Sus scrofa: one gene and its partners. The protein of the gene in region 2 interacts with the protein of the main gene of each other region in a pairwise test. Links are inferred from orthologs where the notes say so. Each region holds a gene or a part of one and is shown on either strand. Other genes may lie near its edges.

Region 1 (3,716 bases), on a different chromosome or scaffold from region 2:
TTGTATGGGGCATCTCTGGGGATACGCCTTTGCCTTCTTGAAGCCCAGCCCCGAACTCCCACTTCTTGAAATTTTCTCTTTCTTTGGTTTCTAAGAACACGCTTTCTTCTGATAGGCTTCCTAAGGCTCTGCCTGCCCTCATCGCTGTCTCCTTGTCCCCTGGTGAGAGTTTTACCCTCTGATTCATTTGTAGGAAATGCTAGTGATTAATATCATTCATCTGTGACTTGGATTCTCCTCAATTACTGAGGATTCACCAACACTGGTCTCCAGCTCAGACTCTCTCCCAATCTCCAGACTCCAGGTAACGGATGGCTCCATGCCCCAGCTGAGCTCCCCAACCTGGAAATCTCTCCGTCTGTGGCCCCCTTTCCACCCCCTGCCCCCTGCCCAGGCTTAGGCCTTCTTCCCTGAAAACTCACCAAATTCTACAGTTCTCTGGCCATGCCACATGGCTTCACGCCCCCGGGCCTTTGCACATGCTGTGTGCTCAGCTTGCAATGGCCTTCGCCTGACATTCTCCGCACCTGAGGCCTTCCTGCCTCCAACGAGCTTTCCTGATGCTGCAGCCCAGCTGTGTCCTCACTCCCATCTGACTCTGCCTCCTCATCCCTCAAGCCGTGGTGAAACTCCACTGTCCACTGCATCTCATGCTCAGATTGCAACACCAATCTCTGGCCCCAAGGTCCCCACCTCCAGGTCTCCTCTCCCTCTCCCAAGGAGCTCTCACAGCCTGGCCTCCACCTGTCTGCAGAGCTTGGATCCTCAAAGACTGGCCGAGATCTGGCCGCTGGACCTTGCACCTTCTGCATTGCTTCCTCGACTACAATCTCTCCCACCTCCTTCAATTAGCAAACTCCCAGGACTCAGGGCAGCACCTCCCCCAGGAAGCCCTCCATGACTGCCACCGGGCATAGCTAGGGCCTCTTCTGTGCTACCATCTTTGTATCTGGGTCTGCTTCACCAGCAGGGCAGCCACACTCTGACTCATCAAATACCATGGGAAGTTCACCAGAAATGTTTGCTGAAGGACAGAATCACTGTCCTTTCGTAGGTGTCCCTCCCCCTCTCCTCTGTCTTTTTTTTTTTTTTTTTTTTTTTCTTTTTTGTCTTTTGCCTTTTCTAGGGCTGCTCCTGCGGCCTATGGAGGTTCCCAGGCTAGGGGTCCAATCGGAGCTGTAGCCACCGGCCTACACCACAGCCACAGCAACGCGGGGTCCGAGCCGTGTCTGCGACCTACACCACAGCTCACGGCAATGCCGGATCCTTAACCCACGGAGCAAGGCCAGGGATGGAACCTGCCACCTCATGGTTCCTAGTCGGATTCATTAACCACTGCGCCACGACGGGAACTCCTCCTCCCGTCTTTTTTTGCACCCTGTCTCTGAAGGCAGGGGCTAGATCTAAGAGACCCCACCCCCAGCCCTAGGATCTCACCTTGGCTTGGGGCGCTCCTCTTCTGTTGGGGGGGGGGATACAAAGACACAATTAGCAAGAGTTTGTGGGCGTGGGAGGACGCGACACACCCAAAGGTGGGCCCTCCTCGCCCCCCCAAGACTTGGTCCCCAGGCCCAGTTCCCTTGTCCTGCAGCCCTGGGGGAGGGGTATGGCGGGGGTAAAAGAGGAGAAGGGAAATCGGGGTGGCCGTAAAGGGAGGGAGGGGTCACACGCATCAGATATACATTCAGAACCGGTGTGGGGATTCCCCCCCTCCACTCGCTTCGCTGGGAAACCAGGCTTCCAAACCCCCCACCCTCCTTCTGCAGACCCAGAGCTCCTGCCCTCCTCCCCAAGCCCTCTGTTCACTCGGGGACCCTGGAGTTGTGTCCCCAGCCACCTCCCCCTTGGGGACACAGGAATCCAGACCCCCACTGCTACCCCCTTCTGCAACCCAGGCCCCAACCTTTGAATGTATATGGGGGAGAAAAATAACAGGCGAAGATGAGAGGGGAGGAGGGGTGCCTCTCCGCAAACATCCAACCCTTCTATAAGTATTCCTCCAGTCTGGGGAAGAAGGCTTGGGTGTCGGTCCCTTTAAGAAGGAAGGGAACGGGTTAAAGCCGCTGCGAGGCTATTTCCCTTCGTGGCCACCAGAGGGCGCGCGGGCTCTCCGGGGCTTAAAGGACCGGGTCCGGGGCGGGTTATGGGGGCGGGGAGGGAGTTCTCGTGGAGGTCAGGGCCCAGAGGACACCCCGCAATTGGTCTCAGGAAGCGAAGCAGCCGCGGTTACCTCGCTCTGCCACCGGCTCTGGCTCCTCGGGGGCTGGGGAGGGGGCAGGAGGAGAAGCGAGGGTTTGGGGAGCCAGGGGAGGGGAGCGGCCAGGCCCGGATGCAGGGGGGGAGAGAGGGGAGAGAGGGGAGAGGCTGTTAAAGGAACTGAGGCCGAGAACCCCGAAAGCCCCGCGCCCCGCCCGGCCTGCACCCCTGGACCAGCGGGCCCCCCACCCACCCGCCTGTCCCCCACCCCCCCAGACCTGCGTCCAGCTCCAGACCTGCGGAGTCCGGGGCCTCACCTTCCTCCTCCTCAGCAGCCTCCTCTTCTGGAAGGGGTCGGGGAGAGAGAAGAGGGGTTAGGGGCCCAGGGGGACCCGGGGTGGAAGGGCTTTCAGAGAGGGGACCCAGTGGGTGAGGGGGCAGAGACCCAGGTTCGGGCTCGAGTCTCAGCTGGGCGGGGCGGGGGGGGGGACCCGTCAGCCTCAGCGGCCGCCGGGCACGATGGGCTTTTCCCTCCCAGGAGGATGGGCGTCGGGCCGGTCGGGCGGGGTGGGCCGAAGTGCACTCACCTTCAGGCTGCTCCCTGAGGACCCGGGCGGGGAGAAAAGAGGGAGGGGGAGAGTTAGGCGCCTCGGAGGCGGAGGGGGTCTCCCCCGCTCCGAGCCCCCAGCCCTCCCGCCAGCATCACTCACTCCTCATATTCCTGCTCTTCGGCGTCAGACATCCTGGCGTGACCTAGAGAGGCAGAGAACGGGGGTCCAAACGAGGGACTCGGGATCCCCGACCTGGGGTCCCGACGCCCGGGTCTGAGGGACGAGGGGCTGGGGGCTGGATCCTGGGTCTGACGGGGGGGGGGGGGGCTGGGGCTGGACCCCTGGGTCTGGAGGAGGAGGGGCTGGGGCAGGACTCCAGGGTCTGAGGGAGGAGGGGCTGGGACCTGGACCCCTGGGTCCAAGGGAGGAGGAGCTGGGGGCTGGATCCTGGGTCTGAGGCCGGGGGCCTGGGGCTGGACCCCCGGGTCTGAGGGAGGAGGAGCTGGGGGCTGGACCCCTGGGTCTGAGGGAGAAGGGGCTGGGGCAGGACCCCTGGGTCTGAGGGAGAAGGGGCTGGGGCAGGACCCCTGGGTCTGAGGGAGAAGGGGCTGGGACAGGACCCCTGGGTCTGGGGGAGGAGGAGCTGGGGGCCCTCAACTCCCAAAGATTCCTAAACCGCGGATGAAGACAGGGCTTGGGAAGGTATGGCCCCACCAACCCCAAAGCCACAGGCCCCACCCCCTCACCACAGCTGCCCTCTTTTGTCTTATGACAAGTCCTTTGGAACCTGATCTGAGGAGGGATTAGGGGAAGGTATTTGGGGAAGACACAGTGGCCTGAAGACAATAGCTGCCCCACCCCCAAGGGCTATTTTGGGGGGATGTCGTGGAGGGTGACACAGAGGACATCTAAAAAGTATTCTAGGAGGAGGGGTTCTGGGAGAATTCATCATACCCACTCCCCTCTGCC
Region 2 (3,645 bases):
TTAAATACATAGAATTAACAGTTTCATTCAGGATAGTTAACAGAAGTTAAGTTTGACTCAGTAATATAAAAACATCAGATAAGGCTAGTGGTGGGTCTGACTTAAAATTTTGAAGTTGTGATTATAAGTGTTTTGAGATACTTCACAGTATCTGTTTTGTTTTGTCACACCCATGGCACATGGAAGTTCCTGGGCCAGGGATCAAATCTGCACCGCAGCAGGGAAGGGAACTTAGAAAATTAGGATTTTTTAACTAATGACAAAATCAGAGGTACTGCAAATACCGTTGTATTTTGTTGCTTGTAAACATTGAAGGAGATGTTTAATTTCATTAAATGTTAGTGAAAGAAGGAATTTTTGCTGATCAAGCTATTGTCAAGATTCAGAATTCTTGTATTCACATAGTTTGTTTTTGCAAAAGAGCTAATAGCTTGACCTCGGTAAGTCTGAAGGTTAAATATGATGATGGGTTTTGTTTTTTTCTTGGCTGTACCCGTGACATGAAAGTTCGCAGGCCAGGGATCAAACGCATGCCACAACATTGACCTTGGTCGCTGCGGTGACTTGTAGGATCCTTAACCTACTGTGCCACAAGGAAACTCAAATAACAGGTTTAAAGAGCTTATACTGGTGCCTGGTCCATGGTGCTTAAGGAGATAGTATTTCTCAACTTTAATGAGTGACAGTGAAGTTAATGCCAATGTGAGGGTTTTTTCCCTCCATGTAGCATTAAGGTTCTTACAGTCTTTTAAGTTTTCTTCAAAAAGTGGAAACTGGCCTGGTAAATATTTTTAAAATAAGAATTAGAATTACTTTGTATCAGTTATAAGATTTAAAAACAAGAATGGGTATGGGAAGTAATATCAGGTACATTTTTATCCCCACCACCACCACCTTTTAGGGCCATACCTGCAGCATATTCCCAGGCTAGGGGCCCAATTGGAGCTGCAGCTGCCAGCCTACACCACAGCCATAGCAATGTGGGATCCAAGGTACATCTTCCGACCTTCCCCACAGGTCACGGCAATGCCGGATCCTTAGCCCACTGAGTGAGGCCAGGGATCAAACCCACATCCTCATGGATGTTAGTCGGGTTCGTTACCACTGAGCCATAGCAGGGATGCAGTTGAGCAGCCTCTCCATAGGCTATAGAATAAGTCCTAGCAAGAACATTTTTAATGTAACATGCACTAGCATGCTATATTAAGATTTCTAATAGAATGCTTGATATATCTCAATCCAGCAGGCACAGGTGCCCATTTTAAAACTAGAAACTTGAGTTCAATAAGGCTTAACAATTGCATAGCCAAATTTAATCTGAGGAGGCAGGTATAAGTGTATTGCACATTCAGATGGAGAAATTAAATTGAGAGTTCCCCTTGTGTGATGGAAACAAATCCAACTAGTGTCCATAAGGAAACACGTCCAATCCCTGGTGTTGCCATGAACTGTGCTGTAGGTTGGAGACAGGGATCGGATCCCGGGTGGCTGTAGCTGTGATTTAACATCTAGCTTGGGAACTTTCACATGCCTTAGGTGTGGCCCTCAAAAGCAAAAACAAATCTACTTTAGTCATAGGGAAGTTGTTAGGATTTGTTATATTTAAAATTTAGTTCTGCCTAATTCTCTATGTTTAGTATTTGAAAGTGATATTTAGATATTGAAAGGCTCTATGGCGTTTTGTCTTGGAACTCATTTTGAAATCTAAATGCACCAACAGTGAAGGAATTTGCTGTTGTGCTAGAAGATCTGGTCTGCCCAGTGTTCTCCCCCTGTGTAGTAGGTGCCAGTTAATTCCAGGTAGGGGGTGGTAACAGATTGTTGCCTTTGCTCCCAATCTCCACCCCTAATTTTGTTTAAGGGCACTTTATTCAAGAGAGTTTTCTGAGATAGGAAAAGTTTAGTTTCTTCCAGGGATGTCGTCACCACCACTATAGGATGTTTTGATCCAGACAGGCCACAGCATAATCTGCGTTTGAATGCCTTGTTCCATTAGTCCATGAAGTTGCCTTCAAGCCTGAGCTTTCCAGCCAGCTGAGTCAAATTCTTTCTTTCACCATCAACCAAAGGGCATGCTGATACAGGACTAAAGAAAATGCCCAATTTATAGAGTGCTTAACAGCACTTATCCCTGCTTTACAGATAAGGAAGCAGCCTGAGTGCTTTGCCTCACTGGAGGTGGTTCTAGGAAAACTGCAGCAGCCTAGGCGATCTGGCTCTAGGGTATGTGCAGTGTTTTGGTCCTAACCGGTTGATAGGACTTTCAAGTGAATAGTTAGCACATGGTGCTTATTCTAAATGGACCTGGTATTTACATGTTTATCACTGGCTATGTCCCAAAGTGAACTAATTTGCCCACCTAGACCTTCGAACCATAGCCTTGAGTCTGCCTTCACCCTGAATCCATCTGTTGGAAAATCCTTTTAGTTCTGTCTTTAAAACAATGCAGAATCCAATGCTTTCTCACTACTGCTATCACTCTAAACCAGGACACCACGTCCCATGTTAATATTTCAGTCTCCCCATTGGTCTCCAGCTCCTACCATTACCCTTTAGACTACTGCCAACACCAAGGCAGAGGAAGCTTTTAACGCAGATGTTACTCCTAACACCTCCAGAAGCTCCCCACTAGGTAAAAGCCAAAGTTCTTAAAGGCTTAGCAAGGATCTTTGCCATGTCCTATTCTACTGACCCACCTTTTTTTCTCCCTCTACGGTCAACCATATAGTTATTCTTTCTCAAATAGACTCCTAGAACCTTTAGACTTTCCTGTGTTCCATCTTTGCTAATAGAATGGGTTTCCCACACTTTCCAAATGTTGCCACCTGGGTGCATGCTATATGTATGTCATTTTTTATTTTTTCTTGCTTCACTTGTACCTACTGCTAAAGAGGAAATCTTTTTGATACTCTCTGCCATTTTAGCATGCTTTTCATATTGTCACAGAAGATACTATGAATAAATGCAAATGAATTTCAGAGAAACACTTTAAGAGTCATATTCTTTATTAGTACCAACTTTTCAACTAAATTGTTTTTTGCCAGAGCTAAACAATTTAATATAAAAAAATGCCATTTTTGTTCATATGGTATTTATAAAAAAGTACATAGTGGTTAGTTTTGCAACAATTTGCTTTTAGCCAGATGTTGTATCGTATAAATCTGAACGTAACAAATGAGATAAGAATAGTATAAATAAGATTTTGTAGTATTTACACGTATACAGAAACTAGCCCAAATGGTGTTCTAAGAAATTAAGTTTGTAATTAAAGTGAAACTACTGATTCAGCATACTGATAACTTATTTTAATGCTTTTCAAAGTTTTATATTTTCTACACTAGTTTTGACTATAATTTTGCATAGAATTACTTATAAAGTATATTTCTGCATTTCACATCACAGTAGGAGCTTTTAGTATTAAAAAAAAAAAATCCACTAGCTCAGAAAAGGTCAGATATGCCCAAATCTAGTTTTTCTTCACATCTGGCTTCTTACTTTTGGGAACAAGGAATACATTGCCATCTCTTGTTTGCTGCAGGGAGTACTCACTTGGAGAGTAAGGCTTTCCATCTTCATCACGTAACATACTGAAGACTTCAAGGTACAAGGTGCTGAGTTGTTTTTTCAGTAGATGGAGACTTTTGT
Region 3 (3,745 bases), on a different chromosome or scaffold from region 2:
ACCTCGAATTGAGGGCCTGACAAGTCAGGCCCTATACTCTGAGACTGGCTCCGTGCTGGAGGACACACCCTGTCCTCAAGAGCCCAGATGATAAGACCACTACATGCAGCCCTGCCAAGCAAAAGGTGACAGAGTGCTTTGGGATTCAGAGGGAAGCTACTGGAGTCTGGCAGGGAGGGTTTCTGACACCTTGATGCTCCAAGGCTCTAGGGGCCACCTGGGTGGCCTTTGTCGTTCCTTCAGTGGCACTGAATTCCCATAAGGATCCTGCCCTCGTCCCTGGCTCCTCCCTCTTTCAGCTCATCTGATCTCACTGACCTGTCTGGTGGGGGGGGGCGCGACCCTTCCTGACCTCACACCTGAGAAGAGACGTCCAGAATCTGGAAGTAGAATTGGGTCCCTTCAGTTTCCCTTCTTCCTTTCCAGACCTCTTTCTCTGGGGATTTTGAACAGAAGTGAGAAGTCCTTACAGAAAGTGTAGAAACTTTCTGTAAGGGTCCATGGGTCCATGGACGGGGACCTAAGCTCGGGGCAGACGCTGGTGAAACAGAAAGGAAAGGCGCACCCCCTACATCAACTATGAATTCAACAGATGCTTACTGATGCCCACATTCACCGCACCCACTCTGAGCCAGACGGGTTCTAGGAGCCGCCTGAGCCCGGTCCCTCATGTGAGGTCTCGGGATGCTGGGTGAAGACAGACCACACTACTCAGAAGCCTTGGAGGCGGCCTTGAGCTTCGGACAAACCCTTCGCCTCCCTGAGCCTGTGGGTCTCCTGTGAACCAGACAGCTGTTCCTGGCAAGGCTGAGGCCCGCTCCGCAATTACGGAGGCAAGGCATGCAGAGCCTGCCGGGGAGTAACAGAAACACCATGAGGACCTTCTCCATAATGCGTACGGACCTCGGATCCGCAACAGAAAACCGGACACGTGGCCTTTGCAACGTCTGCGCACAAGCCTCAGGAGAGCTTCAGAGGACCACGAGGCCCCGCCTCAAAGGGGGCGTGGCCGGACAGGGAGCGCGCGCCCGGGCCAGTCCCGCGAGACCTCACCCATCGGGCGCGGCGCGCGTTGCCAGGGCGACGGCGCCCGGCGCGCAGGCGCAGTGCCGGCGCGCTCTGCCGCCCGCCGCCGCCGTCGCCGCCGCCGCGCCTTCCCCTTTAAGCCCCAGCCGGTCGCGTCGCCGCTTCATGAATGGAGCCCACGTGACCAAACATCATGTGACGTCTGAGGAGCGGCGGCGGGCGGCGGCGGCGGCGGCGGCGGCCGGCGGCGGCGGCGGCGGCGGCGGATCCCGAGCCCCGAGCCTGGTCCGGCCCGGCCTTCCAAGCGCGCTCGGACCGGCCCGCGCAGGCGGCGAGCCCCTACCCCGGGCCCGGAGCCCCCGCGCGGCCCACTCCCGCGCGGCCTCGGAGTGCCCGCCCCGCCCCGCCCCAGCCTCGGCCCGCCGGGCCCGCAGTGTGGTGGGTGAGTGCGGCGGCGGCCGGGCCGGGGCAGGGCGCGGGGCAGCTGGGGGCTCCGGGCCGAGGGCGGGCTTCCGCGGGGCCTCGGCTCCTTCGGGCGTCCGGGGCGGCGCGGGCCGGACGCTCCGAGCTTCGGCTCTGCCCCGCGCCCTGCTGGCGGCCCGTGCCTCGATTTCCCCACTAGTCAGAAGCGGCTTCCTGCCCTTGCGCCTGGGGTGCTCGGGTGGGCGCGGGGGTGCCCACAGGGGCGGGGCGGGGCTTGCGCGGGCTGGCTTGCTGGGCCGGGGCGTCCTGGAGGGAGGGGCGGCCGGGGTGGCGGGAGGAAAGGGTGGGGTCGATCGGGGAGCCCAGGGCTCCGCGGAAGAGCCTGGCCGTCCCAGCCTGAGCTGCTGATTCATCAGGTGTCTGTGTTAACGCCTCTCGGACGCGGGGGTCCTTGGAGGCCGGGGGGAAGGGGGCGGCACGTGGGGGGTGGCTAGGAAGACCCTCCCCGCGCCGACTTCGCTCTGTCACACTCGTGCCAGAGCCCAGAGGGAGACTTGCTGAGTCATCAGCATGAGGTCACTCGATGCTTGTCCTGATGCCTGGGGGGATTTGAGCGAGGGGCTCGAGAGGCTGGAAGCGAGAGGTGAGAGCTAAACCAGGGAGTGGGAAGGGGCTAGGCCCCAGGCTGGGGTGCCTGCTTAAGTTCGGGCTGATGTGCGTGTTGAAGGTTTGGGGGGTGAGTAAATGGAGGGACCGCTATTCTTATTATTCTGGGGTAGAGGGTGAAGACCCTGGTCCGTCCATCCCCTCCCCGGCAGGCTTTTCTCAGGCTGCTGGTCCCTGACCCGCGTCTGGGACAGTTCCCCAAACTGGGAAATAGTTCTCTGAGTGAGAAGAGGGAGGAGCTTAGGGGGGCTGTGCTTGCGGGCTGGGAAGCCGGCTTTCCTTATGACTGGTCTGGTTGGCCAGGCTGGGCAGCCTCTGGGCGGGGAAGATGGGGAGACAGTGGGAGAAAGAGGGGTGCCTGTACCCGGTTTCTGGGTAACAGTGGACAGGGCAGGGGGCATGTAGGTGCAGCTCTACCAGGAAATTGCCAATGAGAGGAAGCAGCAGGACTTAGACTTCAGGGGAGTTGGTGTCTGGTGAGCAGGCCCTGCCTCTCTTCACAGCCCGCCGTGGGGTCTGGCTCGAGGCTGTGGGTGGCGGTAGCTTGGAGGGCACCCACCTTCAGGGCACTGGACTGGGGTGGACGGCATGGGCTGAAGAATCTCAGTCACCCCGGATTGTTCTGGTTGGGCTCAGGGTTGTGCAGCTTAACAAAGAAGGTGGTCCTGATGGGGTGGTGGTGGGGACTCCTGGGGAGGGAACTCCAGCCTGAGGGTCGTGTGGCCTGAGCCACCTTCCTAAGTGAATGGGTGGTTCCTGGTCTCCAGGGGCGGGGGTGGGAGTGGGGGTCTTTCCTCTAGACCAGAGCTGATCCTTTTGCCCAGGGGTTCAAGGCTAGGTAAGGCTGACCTTGTGCTTTGTCCTCAGGCATTACTTCCGCTCCCCTTCACCCCAGCCCTGGGCATACAGATGCCAGCTGATCTTTTTTTTTTTTTTTTTTTTCCTGGCCACAGCATGCAGTGGCTTGAAGTGGGATCTCAATTCCCAGAAAAGGGATGGAACCCAGGCCGCAGCAGTAAAAGTGCCGAGTGCTAAGCACCAGACCACCAGGGAACTCCCACCAGCTGATCTTTTGGCTGGAGTTTTATGAAAATGCAGATTCCTAGAGTGGTATTTCTTTAAATCTTCTCAGCTACTTGCGTTTGGTGGGAATGAAGTTTGAGACACTTTTCAGAGGGCTTCTGGGGAAATGGGTCCGAAGGGCAGGGTGAGTGTAGCGGGCTGGGGGGGGTGCCAGGATGACCGGGGCCACGCCTGCCGGGGAGGTTTGGCCACTGCGGTTTGTAGGACAGGAGAAGCAGGAGCGAGCTGGCCTCCTGCCCAGTGTCCATGCCCTGGAGTTTGAGCCCAGGGGAGGGGGAGGGGGCCCTCTCTCCTTCCTGGCCGGCTCTCAGCTTGAGTGGCTAGGCCTGGGTACCTTGGTGGGTATGCACTCTGGGGACCACCCCTGCCTCCTCCCCGAAGTGGGCTCAGCCTCTGGGGGAGCAGAGGCAGGAGGAGGGCTGCAGGGAGGCAGCGTCTCCTTGAAACGGCCTCGGGGATCCCCTTCCTCCGGCTTCTAGAGGTGCCCTGAGACCTCGGTCCCAACCCAGGCCCACAGGGTGTCTCGTCCTGGAACTGTGAGGCCCCA

The links.
Region 1: the proteins of NFE2L2 (region 2) and TNNT1 interact in binary tests that used the Homo sapiens proteins (3 or more experiments, as listed by UniProt). The two-hybrid records come from large-scale screens. The link is inferred for Sus scrofa from reciprocal best matches to the Homo sapiens genes NFE2L2 and TNNT1.
Region 3: the proteins of NFE2L2 (region 2) and MAFG interact in binary tests that used the Homo sapiens proteins (3 or more experiments, as listed by UniProt). The link is inferred for Sus scrofa from reciprocal best matches to the Homo sapiens genes NFE2L2 and MAFG.

The regions. Positions count from the first base shown.
Region 1 is NC_010448.4:59,360,668-59,364,383, forward strand, and holds the start of TNNT1 (troponin T, slow skeletal muscle), read right to left. Parts: upstream 2,944-3,716; 5' UTR 2,939-2,943; coding exon 2,907-2,938; intron 2,798-2,906; coding exon 2,784-2,797; intron 2,541-2,783; coding exon 2,514-2,540; coding exon of another isoform or gene 2,469-2,513; exon of another isoform or gene 2,264-2,468; coding exon 2,231-2,263; exon of another isoform or gene 1,674-2,230; coding exon of another isoform or gene 1,460-1,673; coding exon 1,438-1,459; intron 1-1,437. UniProt on the Homo sapiens protein: Troponin T is the tropomyosin-binding subunit of troponin, the thin filament regulatory complex which confers calcium-sensitivity to striated muscle actomyosin ATPase activity.
Region 2 is NC_010457.5:82,970,665-82,974,309, forward strand, and holds part of NFE2L2 (nuclear factor erythroid 2-related factor 2), read right to left. Parts: coding exon 3,467-3,645; 3' UTR 1-3,466.
Region 3 is NC_010454.4:1,067,681-1,071,425, forward strand, and holds the start of MAFG (transcription factor MafG), read left to right. Parts: upstream 1-1,393; 5' UTR 1,394-1,468; intron 1,469-1,812; exon of another isoform or gene 1,813-1,865; intron 1,866-1,915; exon of another isoform or gene 1,916-3,745. UniProt on the Homo sapiens protein: Since they lack a putative transactivation domain, the small Mafs behave as transcriptional repressors when they dimerize among themselves.